Linked DNA regions of Caenorhabditis elegans. Changing the gene in region 1 together with any one later gene gives a genetic interaction. Each region holds a gene or a part of one and is shown on either strand. Other genes may lie near its edges. The genes, in order: cku-70 and unc-84.

Evidence for each region.
Region 2: of cku-70 (region 1) and unc-84, changing one enhances a phenotype caused by changing the other (phenotypic enhancement), as found in Caenorhabditis elegans (one study listed by BioGRID).

Annotation. Positions count from the first base shown.
Region 1 is NC_003281.10:11,152,998-11,158,097, forward strand, and holds the start of cku-70 (Ku domain-containing protein), read left to right. Parts: upstream 1-1,829; coding exon 1,830-2,051; intron 2,052-2,104; coding exon 2,105-2,207; intron 2,208-3,611; coding exon of another isoform or gene 3,612-4,202; intron 4,203-5,100. Other genes in the region: pola-1 (DNA polymerase), read left to right, coding at 799-947; Y47D3A.31 (BAR domain-containing protein), read right to left, coding at 3,612-4,202.
Region 2 is NC_003284.9:13,582,893-13,590,466, forward strand, and holds unc-84 (Nuclear migration and anchoring protein unc-84), read left to right. Parts: upstream 1-1,882; 5' UTR 1,883-1,887; coding exon 1,888-2,084; intron 2,085-2,578; coding exon 2,579-2,859; intron 2,860-2,911; coding exon 2,912-3,740; intron 3,741-3,799; coding exon 3,800-4,242; intron 4,243-4,300; coding exon 4,301-4,564; intron 4,565-5,044; coding exon 5,045-5,200; intron 5,201-5,251; coding exon 5,252-5,709; coding exon of another isoform or gene 5,710-5,721; exon of another isoform or gene 5,722-5,779; intron 5,780-5,784; coding exon 5,785-6,105; intron 6,106-6,157; coding exon 6,158-6,430; intron 6,431-6,490; coding exon 6,491-6,604; 3' UTR 6,605-6,929; downstream 6,930-7,574. Other genes in the region: col-9 (Nematode cuticle collagen N-terminal domain-containing protein), read left to right, coding at 7,143-7,310, 7,464-7,574. UniProt on the Caenorhabditis elegans protein: Involved in nuclear migration and anchoring in hypodermal precursor cells. Most likely recruits anc-1 to the nuclear envelope where anc-1 functions to tether the nucleus to the actin cytoskeleton.

The DNA.
Region 1 (5,100 bases):
TTTTTGGAAATCGGACTTTTAATGTAAACTTTTGGTGAATAATTGTAATTTCAAAAAAAAAAACGCAGAGTTCGGAGAAAAAGTTTACTTAAAAAATTTTATTTTCTATTTCAGCAGCTATTCAGCATTTTTTTTTTTCAAAAAAAAAATTACGGAGATAAAATTATTCGGCTTTTATAATTTTATTACTCAATCCCGAAATTTCACGATTTTTGCGCCCGGGTCTCGACACGACAAATTGTTGTTGAATGCGAAAAGGTGTGCGCCTTTAAAGAGTACTGTAGTTTCAAACGGAATTTTTTATCGATTTTGCGCATAGATTTTCACACGATTTGTTAAAATTTAAGCGGTTTATTTCAGTTTTTCTAATAAAAAGCATATTTTTTAACGAAAAACTGAAAAAAATTGGATGAAATTTGAGAAATTTTCATCCATTTTTTTCAGTTTTTCGTTAAACAAAAAAACTGAAATAAACCGCTTAAGTTTTAACAAATCGTGTGAAATTCTATGCGCAAAATCGATTAAAAAAATCCGTTTGAAACTACAGTACTCTTTAAAGGCGCACACTTTTTCGCATTCAACAACAATTTGTCGTATCGAGACCCGGTACCGTATTCTTTGAAAAGCTTGGCTCAAATAATTTTAAATCCGTAATTTTTTTTCAGTAAATTTTTTCTCCGATTTCTGAGTTTTTTTTTTCGTTGAAAATTACAATTTTTCACTAAAAATTAGCATTAAAAGTTCGATTTCCAGGAAATTTTGTACAATTTTTTCTTCAAAAAAGTTTTTTTTTTCCAGAAGCCGCCAAAGTCCGTGTCGAATATAATGGGTGCAAAATCGATTCAATGATGTTGGCTGATCGAATCAATGAGAAATATTTGGAGAAAAATGCCTATAATCGAGTGGATCTTTCATATATTTTTGCGCCAATGATGAAAATTCAATGAATTTATTTTCTTTTTTTTTTGAAAATTTCCCCCCAGTTTTGCGATTTTCCCGTCTTTTTTATGTCGAAATTTCTAATTTCCTAATTTTTTTCACAAGTCATTTCCTCCTCCTCCATTTTTCCATTTTCTCCTAATTTTCAGTGAAAAATTCTTTATTTTTCCCCAAAAAAATATTCCCGAAAATACTCAAATCATATCTGATAAACAATCGAATCCTGTGTTAATTCTCCCTTTTTTCACTGAATTTTTGGAGTTTTTCCATCTCTGAAAAAATTATTTCAATTTATTATAGTATTTGTGTCGACTTACGGGGAGAATTTGAACATTTTCGCTATTTTCAAATTTTCTATGCAAAGTAATTTATTTTATTGTAAAATTAAAATTTTTGAGCAAAAAATAACACTTCTCCTCGAGGAGTACACGAAGGCTGCTGCGTAAATCGACACAGGGGTTGTCGATTTACGAGGGATAATGTTTCGGAAACTGAAATTTTAGCCAAAAAAAAAGTCGAGATTTTGCAAAAAAATTGAACTCAAACTTGTCCACGTGTAGTTCAAAATCCGTCGTAAATCGACACATGCATAAAAACCGTGTGTCTATTTACGCAGCTGGTGTACTCCTCGAGGAGAAGTTTTTTTTTTTTAATTTTTCAGTCACGAGCTCCGTAAATCGACAAAATATGATATTTTTTTCTCGAAAAATTTGAAAAAAAAAACTTTCGAAATTTTCAAAACTTGAAAAATGTCAAATTTCAAAGTTTTTGAGAACAAAAATATTTTAATAAATATTTTTAAATTCAAAAAAAATTAATTTTTCGATTTTTTCAGTCAAAATTTGAATTTTTTTTCGAGAAAAGTTTGAAAAAAATCAATTTTTTTCCAGATGGACGAAACCCGCTTCGAGGATGACGATTTCGAGGGTTCAACGGCCAATAAAAAGTACACATTCTTCATAATTGACGGAAATCCGGCAATGTTCGAAACGTCGAAAGCCGGTGAGCCGCCAGAGTTCAAGCTTGCTCTGAAGCTCATTCTCGACGAAATAGTCCGTGTTTGCTGCTCGCGGAGCCTTAACAATCATATCGGAGTGATTGTCACTAGTACTGTACGAGTTTTTTCTGAAGAATTTCTGAAAATTTAATAATTTTTTAATTACAGAAAAACTCGGAGACCGAGGGACTCGAAAATAGCACTCTGCTTGTGCCGATGGGTGTTCTTGGACAGGAAGAAGTGAATAAGATTAAGGAAATTGCGGAGGAAGGTGCGGAAATCGCGGACAATTTCTGACATTTTCGTGGTTTTTTTTCTCGGCATTCGTCGTCTTTTGGCGACTTGGCACAATTTTCGCAGTGAATTAGGCAAACTTCTAATTTTTCAAAATCTCGACAAATTGGCAATTTCCAGTTAAATTTCGAGTAAAATCTACAATTTCAGAATATTATACGCAATCTGGCAATTTTTTGGCAAAAAATTGATTGTTCTTTTGACTTTTGGCAGAATTTCGGTAGATCACCACTTTTTTGAAAATTCGAACGATTTTTTTCCGGCAAATAGACAAATTGTCGGAATTGAAAATTTCTGGCAAATTGCCAAATTGCCGGACATGACAATTTCTGGCAAATTGCCAGAATTAAAAGTTTCTGGCAAATTGCCAGAATTGATTGAAAATTTACGGCAAATTGCCAAATTGCCGGAATTGAAAGTTTCCGGCAAACCGGCAAGTTGCCGGAAACTTTCATTTTTGGCAATTCGGCAACTTGCTGGAAATTAAATTTTCCGGCAATTCGGCAAACCGGCAAATTGTTGGAAATTAAAGTTTCCGGCAAATCGGCAAAATGCCGGAATTGAAAATTTCCGGCAAACCGGAAAATTGTCGGAAATTAAAGTTTCCGTCAACTCGGCAATCCGGCAAGTTGCCAGAAATGAAAATATCCGTCAATTCGGCAAACCGGCAACTTGCTAGAAATCAAAATTTCCGGCAAATTGCTGAAAATGAAATTTTCCGGCAAATCGGCAAGTTGCTAGAAATTAAAATTTGCGGCAATTCGGCAAACCGGCAAGTTGCCGGAAACGAAAATTTCCGTCACGGCAAACCGGCAAATTGCCAGAATTGAAAATTTACGGCAAAACTGCAAACCGGCAAGTTGCCAGAAATGAAAATTTCCGTCAATTCGGCAAACCGGCAAATTGCCAGAAATGAAAGTTCTCGTCAAAACGGCAAACCGGCAAGTTCCCATAAATGAAAATATACGGTAATTCGGTAAATCGGCAAATTGTCGGAATTTAGTTTCCGGTAAATCTGCAACTTGCCGGAATAAAAAATTTCCGGCAACAATTCGGCAAACCGGCACATTGTCGGAAATTAAAGTTTCCGGCAAACCGGCATTTCCGACAATTTGCCGAATTTGCCAAACGGCAATTGCCGTCCACCACTGCTTTCGACAAAACAATTTCCGGTATTTTTTTTTCAAGAAATTGGCAATTTTCGACGCCAGAACTTAGCTTTTCATAAAGAGCGGCCTGAAATCGTGTAGGCCACGCCGCCTAGAAAATTGGCAAAACAATATTTCATAATAACCTAATTTATTTTCAAAAAAAAAAAAGGTTTTTTTGTGAGATCTCTTCAATTTTCAATTTCTCATCCATCACCACCACCACCACCACCTCAATTCGGTTTCCTCATTCCGGCCTTTATCTCCCGCATCAATTCATCTTGCCACATGGAATGAGTCTCCTCAATTGTCTGAATACTTATCGCCAACTCACGCATCCGATCACAAGCCACCTCAAACTCACGAGTGGCATCATCAAACCGAGTCCGATTGACGTCAGTGTCGTTGCTGGCGTACTTGTTCGCAGCACTATCCATATCGAGACGTGTCTTATTCAAATTGGCAATTGTATTTGTGTGAAGCTTACTCTCGTTCTGTGTGAACGCCTTGTACCGCTCACAAATCGCCAGCACCTTATCCATCGACTCGACTTCTGCCTCCATCCGCGTGTCGACACAATTGATGAACGGTTGCACGTTGATACGATCTCCGAGCAGAGCATAGTTCTCCAGTGGGCCTGAAAAGTTGGCTTTCACTTGCCAATTTGCCACGTCGTTCAGATTTGCCATGTGCTTGTAGAGATCCTGGACGCGGGGCTTCAGAGATTTGAAGTAGATCAACGCCTCGTCGATTTCGGCGGGAAGCACTGTCGCCTTGCTTCTGCCCGTCTTTTCTTTCACTTTTTGCTTTAGTCGACTGAACATTGTTGAACAACTCACGCACACACCACCGAGTCGAAATTTAGGAATAAATTGAATTTTGAATTTTGTCCGCGGCGTTTTTTTTTTTTGCTGTTGGAATTTTGAAATTTCCAACGTGGAATTTTGGGATTTTCACGGAAAAAAATTTGATATTTGAGTTTTGTTCAAGTTTGAAAAAGTTAGAAAAGTTTCAATTCCGGCGATTTGCCGGTTTATCGGAAATTTGCAATTCCGGCAATTTGCCGGTTTTGTCGATATGCCGGAAATTTTCATTTCCGCCAATTTGCCGATTTGCCGGAAATTTTCTACTCCGGCAATTTGCCGGAAATGTTCAATTCCGCCCATTTGCCGGTTTGCCGGAAGTTTTTAATTCTGGCAATTTGCTGGTTTTCCGTAAATTTTCCGATTTGCCGGAAATTTTCTATTCCGGCAATTCGCTGGTTTGCCAAAAATTTTCAATTCCGCCAATTTGCCGATTTGCCGGAAGTTTTCAATTCCGACAATTTTCCGATTTGGCTGTAGATTCCATTTCGGCAATTTGCCGGTTTGCCGAAACTTTCAGTTCCGGCAATTTGCCGATTTGCCGGAAATTTTCTACTCCGGCAATTTGCCGGAAATGTTCAATTCCGGCAATTTGCCGGTTTGCCGGCAGTTTTCAATTCCGGAAATTTGCCGATTTATCGGAATTTTTAATTCCGCCCATTTGCCGGTTTGCCGGAAGTTTTTAATTCCGGCAAGTTGCCGAATTGCCGGAAAGAAATCGTTTGCCGCCCACGCCTGCAGTAGATTTCGAAATTTTCGGCAAGTTTATGCAACCGACGTTATTTTGGTTTTACCGGAAATTTGATATATTTGCAAAGTCACTAGACATATGCGATTCTCAGTGAAGGCTTTCCGACCA
Region 2 (7,574 bases), on another chromosome or scaffold:
TTATATAAACTTGTTTTTTTTTAACAAACAGAAAGTTTTGTATTAAAAAAATCAATCTAGAAAATGAAAAACTTGAGCGTCTACTTAAAATTATAATAAATTTTCAAGCATATTCTCTCATTTTTCAAAAAAATGTTCAGTTTCTCTTTTAATTCCTCAGTATGCACTGCATTATAAGCTTTGATGTTTTCCCCATTTAAACTACTCCCTCTTTAAAACATATTTAACACTTGATTACCCATCAAAATCCCGATTAATTCGATCAAGATGTTTGGAAATTTGAGAATGGGAAATCTGATTAGTTCTTGATAAATTTGGTTTTTATATATTTTTTTAATATTTTTCACTCTGTGAATAGACATGAAAATACAACAAAAAAATTTAAAAATTGAAAATCTTCTGGAAAACTTTTGAATTAGTTTTTCAAAAAGTTGGCAGTAGGCTTCAAAAACTCAAAAAATTGATTTCAAAAACTCAAAAAATTGATTTCAGTTTGAAAAGCGGCATTTTCAATATTCTAGAAGAACCTGATTTCAATTTTTAAAAGTTAAAATTAGAAAAAAGTTTTGCTATAGTAAATAAACACCGTAGTTTTTGTTAGTTTCATAACCATGTGAATCCAATAGATCACTGTTCAAAAATTGTAGAAAAAGTCAACAAAAACAACACCAGAGATCAGAGCCATGCGATTGATTTGAGAATTTAAAATCATTCAAACCTTCCACGCAGGCCGAAGTAACTGATCTGGAAGTTGTGCTTTATAAAAAAAACAGACATAGTTCAGTACTTAAAGCGGAAAACATTGTGGACACGCAGATTGTGCTTGTGTTTTTGGTTGAGGGTTTATTTTACTGATAGCCTATATCTGACGTACTGATATGTATTTCATGTTCTTCTACAAACGTTTATTGAAAACTAGTAACTTCTCCGTATCTGCTCTTGACTGTGTCTAATCGTTACAACACTTTTCAATTGGGCTTGTAAATTAGCCTCAAGGTTACGTGGTAAGGCGAGACACACTTCCGATTCTTTCACAGTACTTCTCACCGATTTGTTGCCCATTGCAATGATGCCTAATTCCTTCGGCCTGTTTACGTGTTTAGAGGGCAACACGTAGATGCATGTTCTTCTCTGGTGTTCTCTCTTCCCATCTCACACTCCCTCACTCGGTTCCATCGCTTGTCACCGTACGCCAGACAACTACTCTCTACAAAAAACACACTGCCTCACCCCCTCTCCCCCTATCTGCTGTCCACCACCTGCACCATTCGGCGGGGGTGATGGCGATTGGAGACTGGGGTGACCGACCGAAACCATTAAATCGACGCTCACTGTTGCGTGTATGTGTGTGCCCTCCCTTTCTCCTCCTTTCGCCCAGAAAAACACTCACACAAACAATATCGATTCGAGTATAGTGTGCAAGGTGAAGAGACGGAGGGCCCGACGGGGTGAGCACACAAACAACATTGGTTTGAATTTTTTCTGCCTTGCGATGTTTCGAAAAGTTGCGTATTTAATTTGTTGTGATGTGATATGTTTTGTTTTTTTTGCCAGTTTTTTTCTCTTAAATTTCATAATAAAATCAGGCAGTATTATATATTCTTTTCTCAGCCCATCAAAACCAACAGGTGATTATAATCGTGAGAAACACGAACGTCTCCCAGTCTTCTTCCTTCTCAAGCCCTTTTGTCTTCATAAAAGTGTTTGCTCGTTCTGTAAAGCGCACAGATTTTGGTGCGATGAATCATGCGTAGTTCAAAATCAAACAAAGACAGAGACTCGATGCTTGCAAGTTTTGTTACTTTTTTATTCTCACTTCAATACTTCTTTTTTCACCGCTCTTTAATATCTTTAATATCTTCCTTAAAATTGTGTTTTGCAGGTACTATGGCTCCCGCAACGGAAGCCGACAACAACTTCGACACCCATGAATGGAAATCGGAATTCGCATCCACACGCTCTGGACGCAATTCTCCAAACATTTTTGCAAAAGTTCGCCGGAAGCTTCTCCTGACTCCACCAGTTCGAAACGCCAGATCGCCACGTCTTACCGAAGAAGAGCTGGATGCTTTGACAGGCGACTTGTATGTTACCCCCCTCCCCCTTTTTCTCATTCAAATTTCGCGCCACATACGGCCGAGGTTTCACGCGCACCTGCTAGGCCACGTTTTGTTTGTGTATTTTGGAACTCAGTTTGCTTGTACTTGACGCCCTAGAAGCCTTTGACAAATATGTAAAAGCTGTGTTGTTCTGAGCAGTGAGGTGGAAAAGAGGAAAAGTAGAACACCAGAAAGTATCGGGTTACAAGGGTGGGTTAAGGCGAAGGAATCTGAGCGGGAAGAAGAAGAATAAAGGTCACTTACCAGTGAGCTCTTGGTGGTTCCGTTTCTTTTTGAGTTTTAAGTCTGTGTGAATGTTGGTTGTTTAATTTTAAATATGTAGTGTTTACAAGTCTTGTATAAAAATTAGAAAACCAAGGCGAAACGAAACCTATAATAGAAGATTAACTTTTCCTGGCATTTTCAAATGTTGAACTTATATTCCTAATGTAATAAAATTTTCATAATTTCTTTTTCAGACCATACGCAACCAACTACACATACGCATACAGCAAAATCTACGATCCATCCTTGCCGGACCACTGGGAAGTGCCAAACCTTGGTGGTACTACTTCAGGATCACTCTCTGAGCAGGAGCACTGGTCAGCGGCCAGTCTCAGCAGACAGCTTCTCTATATCCTCCGTTTCCCCGTCTACCTTGTTCTTCACGTCATCACCTACATTTTGGAAGCTTTCTACCACGTCATCAAGATCACTAGCTTCACCATCTGGGACTACCTGTTGTATTTGGTGAAACTCGGTAAGTTGTTTTTCTGCAAAATGTTAGAATTAAAAAAAAAATTTTTTTTCAGCGAAAACTCGTTACTACGCCTACCAAGATCATCGTCGCCGTACAGCTCTCATTCGCAACCGGCAAGAGCCATTCTCCACTAAGGCTGCTCGTTCTATTCGTCGATTCTTTGAGATCCTTGTCTACGTCGTGCTTACTCCTTACAGAATGCTCACAAGAAGTAACAATGGCGTGGAACAGTACCAGTACCGTTCGATCAAGGATCAATTGGAAAATGAGAGAGCTAGCAGAATGACGACAAGATCTCAAACATTGGAAAGAAGCCGCAAGTTTGATGGATTATCGAAATCACCAGCACGCCGAGCAGCTCCAGCCTTTGTGAAGACTAGTACAATTACCAGAATCACTGCCAAGGTGTTCTCGAGCTCTCCATTCGGAGAAGGAACGTCCGAAAATATAACCCCGACTGTTGTGACTACTAGAACAGTGAAGCAACGCTCAGTTACCCCAAGATTCCGCCAAACCCGTGCCACTCGTGAAGCTATAACTCGAGCACTCGATACTCCGGAACTCGAAATCGACACACCACTCTCCACATATGGACTTCGAAGCCGAGGACTGAGTCATCTGAATACTCCTGAACCAACTTTTGACATTGGTCATGCTGCTGCAACTTCCACGCCTTTGTTCCCACAAGAAACTTACAATTATCAATACGAAGAAGCGACAGGAAATAAGATTAAAACTGCATTCACTTGGCTAGGTTACTTGATATTGTTCCCGTTCTTTGCGGCACGACATGTATGGTATACGTTCTACGATTATGGAAAGAGTGCCTACATGAAGCTGACCAATTATCAGCAAGCGCCAATGGAGACTATTCATGTCAGGTATGAACATTTTAAATTTATGATGACCGAGTTCAATTTTTTTCATGTTATTTATACAGAGATATCAACGAACCGGCACCAAGTTCATCAGATGTTCATGATGCTGTTGGTGTTTCTTGGAGAATTCGAATTGCCGATTTCTTGAGCTCATTCGTAGCAACAATCGTTGAAGCGCATCAAGTGGTATTTGCAATGTTCAAAGGAGGAATTGTTGAGACAGTTTCCTATTTTGGAGGACTATTTGCTGGTCTTACCGATAAGAAATCATCAAAGTTCTCGTGGTGTCAAATTCTCGGTCTACTTCTGGCTCTTCTCTTCGCCATCTTTCTCCTTGGATTCCTGACATCTGACAACACAGCAATAAGAGTTAAAGAAATTACCAAAGATAAGAATGCATCTAAGAAGTCGGAAGGATCCCTCCCAGCTGTGCCAATCTGGATTTCAGCTGCAAATCACGTTAAACATTACACATGGATGGTGAAGGAATTTGTTGTAGATATTGGTATGTTATAAATCTCATTTTTCTGTTCAGTGTAGAAAACAACATCTTTAAATTCCAGCATTTGACACGTACAACTATGGAAAGTCGACGATTGGTAGACTTGGCACTACTCCACGTTATGCTTGGGACCTGATTGCAAGCGGATGTGGCGCTGTTGGAAATGGCTTAAAATCTGTGCTCTCATCGAGTTTTCGATTCATCGATTTTTGTGCTGGAAAGCTATTTTACTATGGCTCAGATGGGTTCTTGTCAGCAAACAAGTCTATCGGAACCTTTTTCAACGGTTGCTACGAGACCTTGTACAACGGATGCACAGCAATTGGTAAGGAAAATACAAATTGTATGCAGTCAAAATGTGGTAAAACTTTAAAAAATTAAAATTCGATCAATCCATTATGCTGGAAATCTTTAGTAATTTTCAACATCTTATCAATGGGACATGAGTATTAGCTTTTATTTTTCAGAACAGTAATTTACTTGGTATTTGTGAAATAGAAAACTGAATTCCAAAATGTTTGTAACGAATGAAATAAAATGGAAATAAAAGTGTTGAGCAACATGCTAGTATTATTTTATTTTTCAGGCTTAGAACTTATTAACTTTTTGAGTTATTAATTGAGTAGAATCCTAAGCCTAAAATACCATTCACGTTTTATTTAATTTTTTTTGAAACATCAAAAAACTTTTGTAGTACCAGCAAGTACCATTTACACGTAAAAAAATGATATTATCTGTTTTCACTATTTGTATTTACAACAAGAAAGACACTACAAAAAACCAAAGAAAATCGCTTTTTTTACAGTTGGCCATACAAAGAGCTTCATCTACAATGCTTCAAATGCTGTTTACAACTTTTTCTCAACTATCTTTGCCGGTCTCTTAAACTTTTCTACTTCTTCCCAAAACTCCATTCTTTCTCTTCTCAAGTCATTTGGCACCGGAATCACTAACATTTTTTGTAAGTGCTACAATTTTCAAACTATAAACTTAAATGGTGTTTTTTCTTCAGATAACTTCATTTATGCACCAATCGCTGGAGTGTTCAACTTTGCTGGTGATAACTACATGTATTTCTTCAATGAGGTAGCGGCAGTCTTTGGAAAAGTGTACAACTCCGTGGTTTCCGTGCTCAAAACTGTAATTAACTGGATTCTCTTCCTCATTGCCTACCCATTCAGTTTGTGCACTCGTGCTTGGATTCGCATCAGCCAATATGCTCCAGAAGATGTTGTTCAAGTGATTCCAATTCCACAAGCTATTACCCCAACTCCGGATGTGGAGCGTATTGTTGAAGAGCCACTGAGAAAAGTCACCGATGTGGAGGACGAAGAACTAGTGATAATTCCCGCCCCCGCACCTAAACCTATCCCAGTCCCAGCGCCAACTCCGGCCCCAGTAATTATCCATCAGACTAACGTTGTTGAGACTGTTGACAAAGATGCTATCATTAAGGAGGTAACGGAGAAGGTAACTAACTAATCAATTATTGAATGATTGATGTTTTGTACATATGTACATAATAAAGATTTTTGTTATTTTTAGCTTCGCGCCGAGTTGTCCGCCCAATTCCAGCAAGAGCTTAGCGCAAAGTTTGAGCAAAACTACAACACAATTATTGAGCAACTGAAAATGGAAAACACCAACATTCAATATGATAAGAATCATTTGGAAGCTATCATCCGTCAAATGATCTACGAGTATGACACGGATAAAACTGGGAAAGTTGACTATGCCCTGGAGAGCTCAGGTGGAGCTGTTGTGTCAACAAGATGCTCGGAGACGTACAAAAGCTACACAAGGCTGGAAAAGTTTTGGGATATCCCAATCTACTATTTCCATTACTCTCCAAGAGTTGTCATTCAGGTGAGCGCTTTAGGATCCTCTGACTCCAAGCCTATTATCTTTTCATTTTCAGAGAAATTCCAAATCCCTGTTTCCTGGGGAATGCTGGTGCTTCAAAGAATCCCGTGGCTACATTGCTGTCGAGCTGTCTCATTTCATTGATGTTTCTAGCATCAGCTATGAGCACATTGGATCAGAAGTTGCTCCAGAAGGGAACCGGTCGAGTGCTCCAAAGGGAGTCCTCGTTTGGGCTTACAAGCAGATTGACGACCTGAACTCGAGAGTTTTGATTGGCGACTACACTTATGATCTTGATGGCCCGCCACTTCAATTCTTCCTTGCCAAGGTAAGTCCGAATGATTAATTCTTGACAAGTGTGTGGCTATTATCGAATTAACATTTTCAGCACAAACCCGATTTTCCTGTCAAGTTTGTGGAGCTCGAGGTGACAAGCAATTACGGAGCTCCGTTCACATGTCTCTACCGCCTTCGTGTTCATGGAAAAGTTGTTCAAGTTTAATTTATTTTGTTAATCTTGTTTTTATGGTCAAATTTTCAATTTCCATTGATCTGATTCCGAAATGTTTCAATTTCACCCCTCTCCTGCCAATTTTTCAAATCACAATTCATTTTCCCAAATTTTTCCAGTTCCCTTGTTATATTTTTAGCGCGTGTCCATTTTTTTTCAAAGTATAGAATATCATTACATTTTCATGCAGTTTACCGGTCTCCTGAATACTTGGCCTGAATATATTTGAATGCAAAACCAATCACTCTCTATTTCTCTGCAGCCTTTACCCCCTGATCTCAAAATACTTTATCGATTTTCATAAATTATTTCAATATCTTTTGTTCTTGTAAAACTGAACTAAAACCCATTATGTGGAAGAGTGAATAAGTGTTAGATTGGCATAACAAACCGTAACCGATGGATTCGCAGCAAACGACATTAATTGAGTATACCGCCTAACACATTCATTGATCATTTCTTTTGTATTCCTCGGGCTATATATACTAAACCATGCGAGAGCGTTAACATTGTATTTTCTTCAATTTTCATGGAGTCCTGTGTAGATTTAAAATTACGAATTTTCAAATTTGTGGCGTACTCTGTCGTTGGAAGCTCAGTAATAGCTACAGCGTTTCTTTGTGTAACACTACCGTTGATTTACGAGCATGCACAAAATGGAATGATGACTATTAGCAGAGAAGGAGCATATTGCAAGGTGAGTGATAAACTAAGCATTAGTAATGTTTTGTGCTGAAATAGTTTTTAGTAGTGTATACCTGAACATTTTAGTAATTGAAGTTCTTCCTAGCAAAACATAATTGTCATTTTACATAGAAGTTTGCGGCAATTAAGAGTATAATATTTTCAGAAGTCTATAAACGAAATCTGGTTTGATATGACCGAAGATGTCGACATCGTCCACAATCGAACAATTCGCGAAGCTTACACTGTTACTAGAGGTGAAGGTAACACTGGTTAC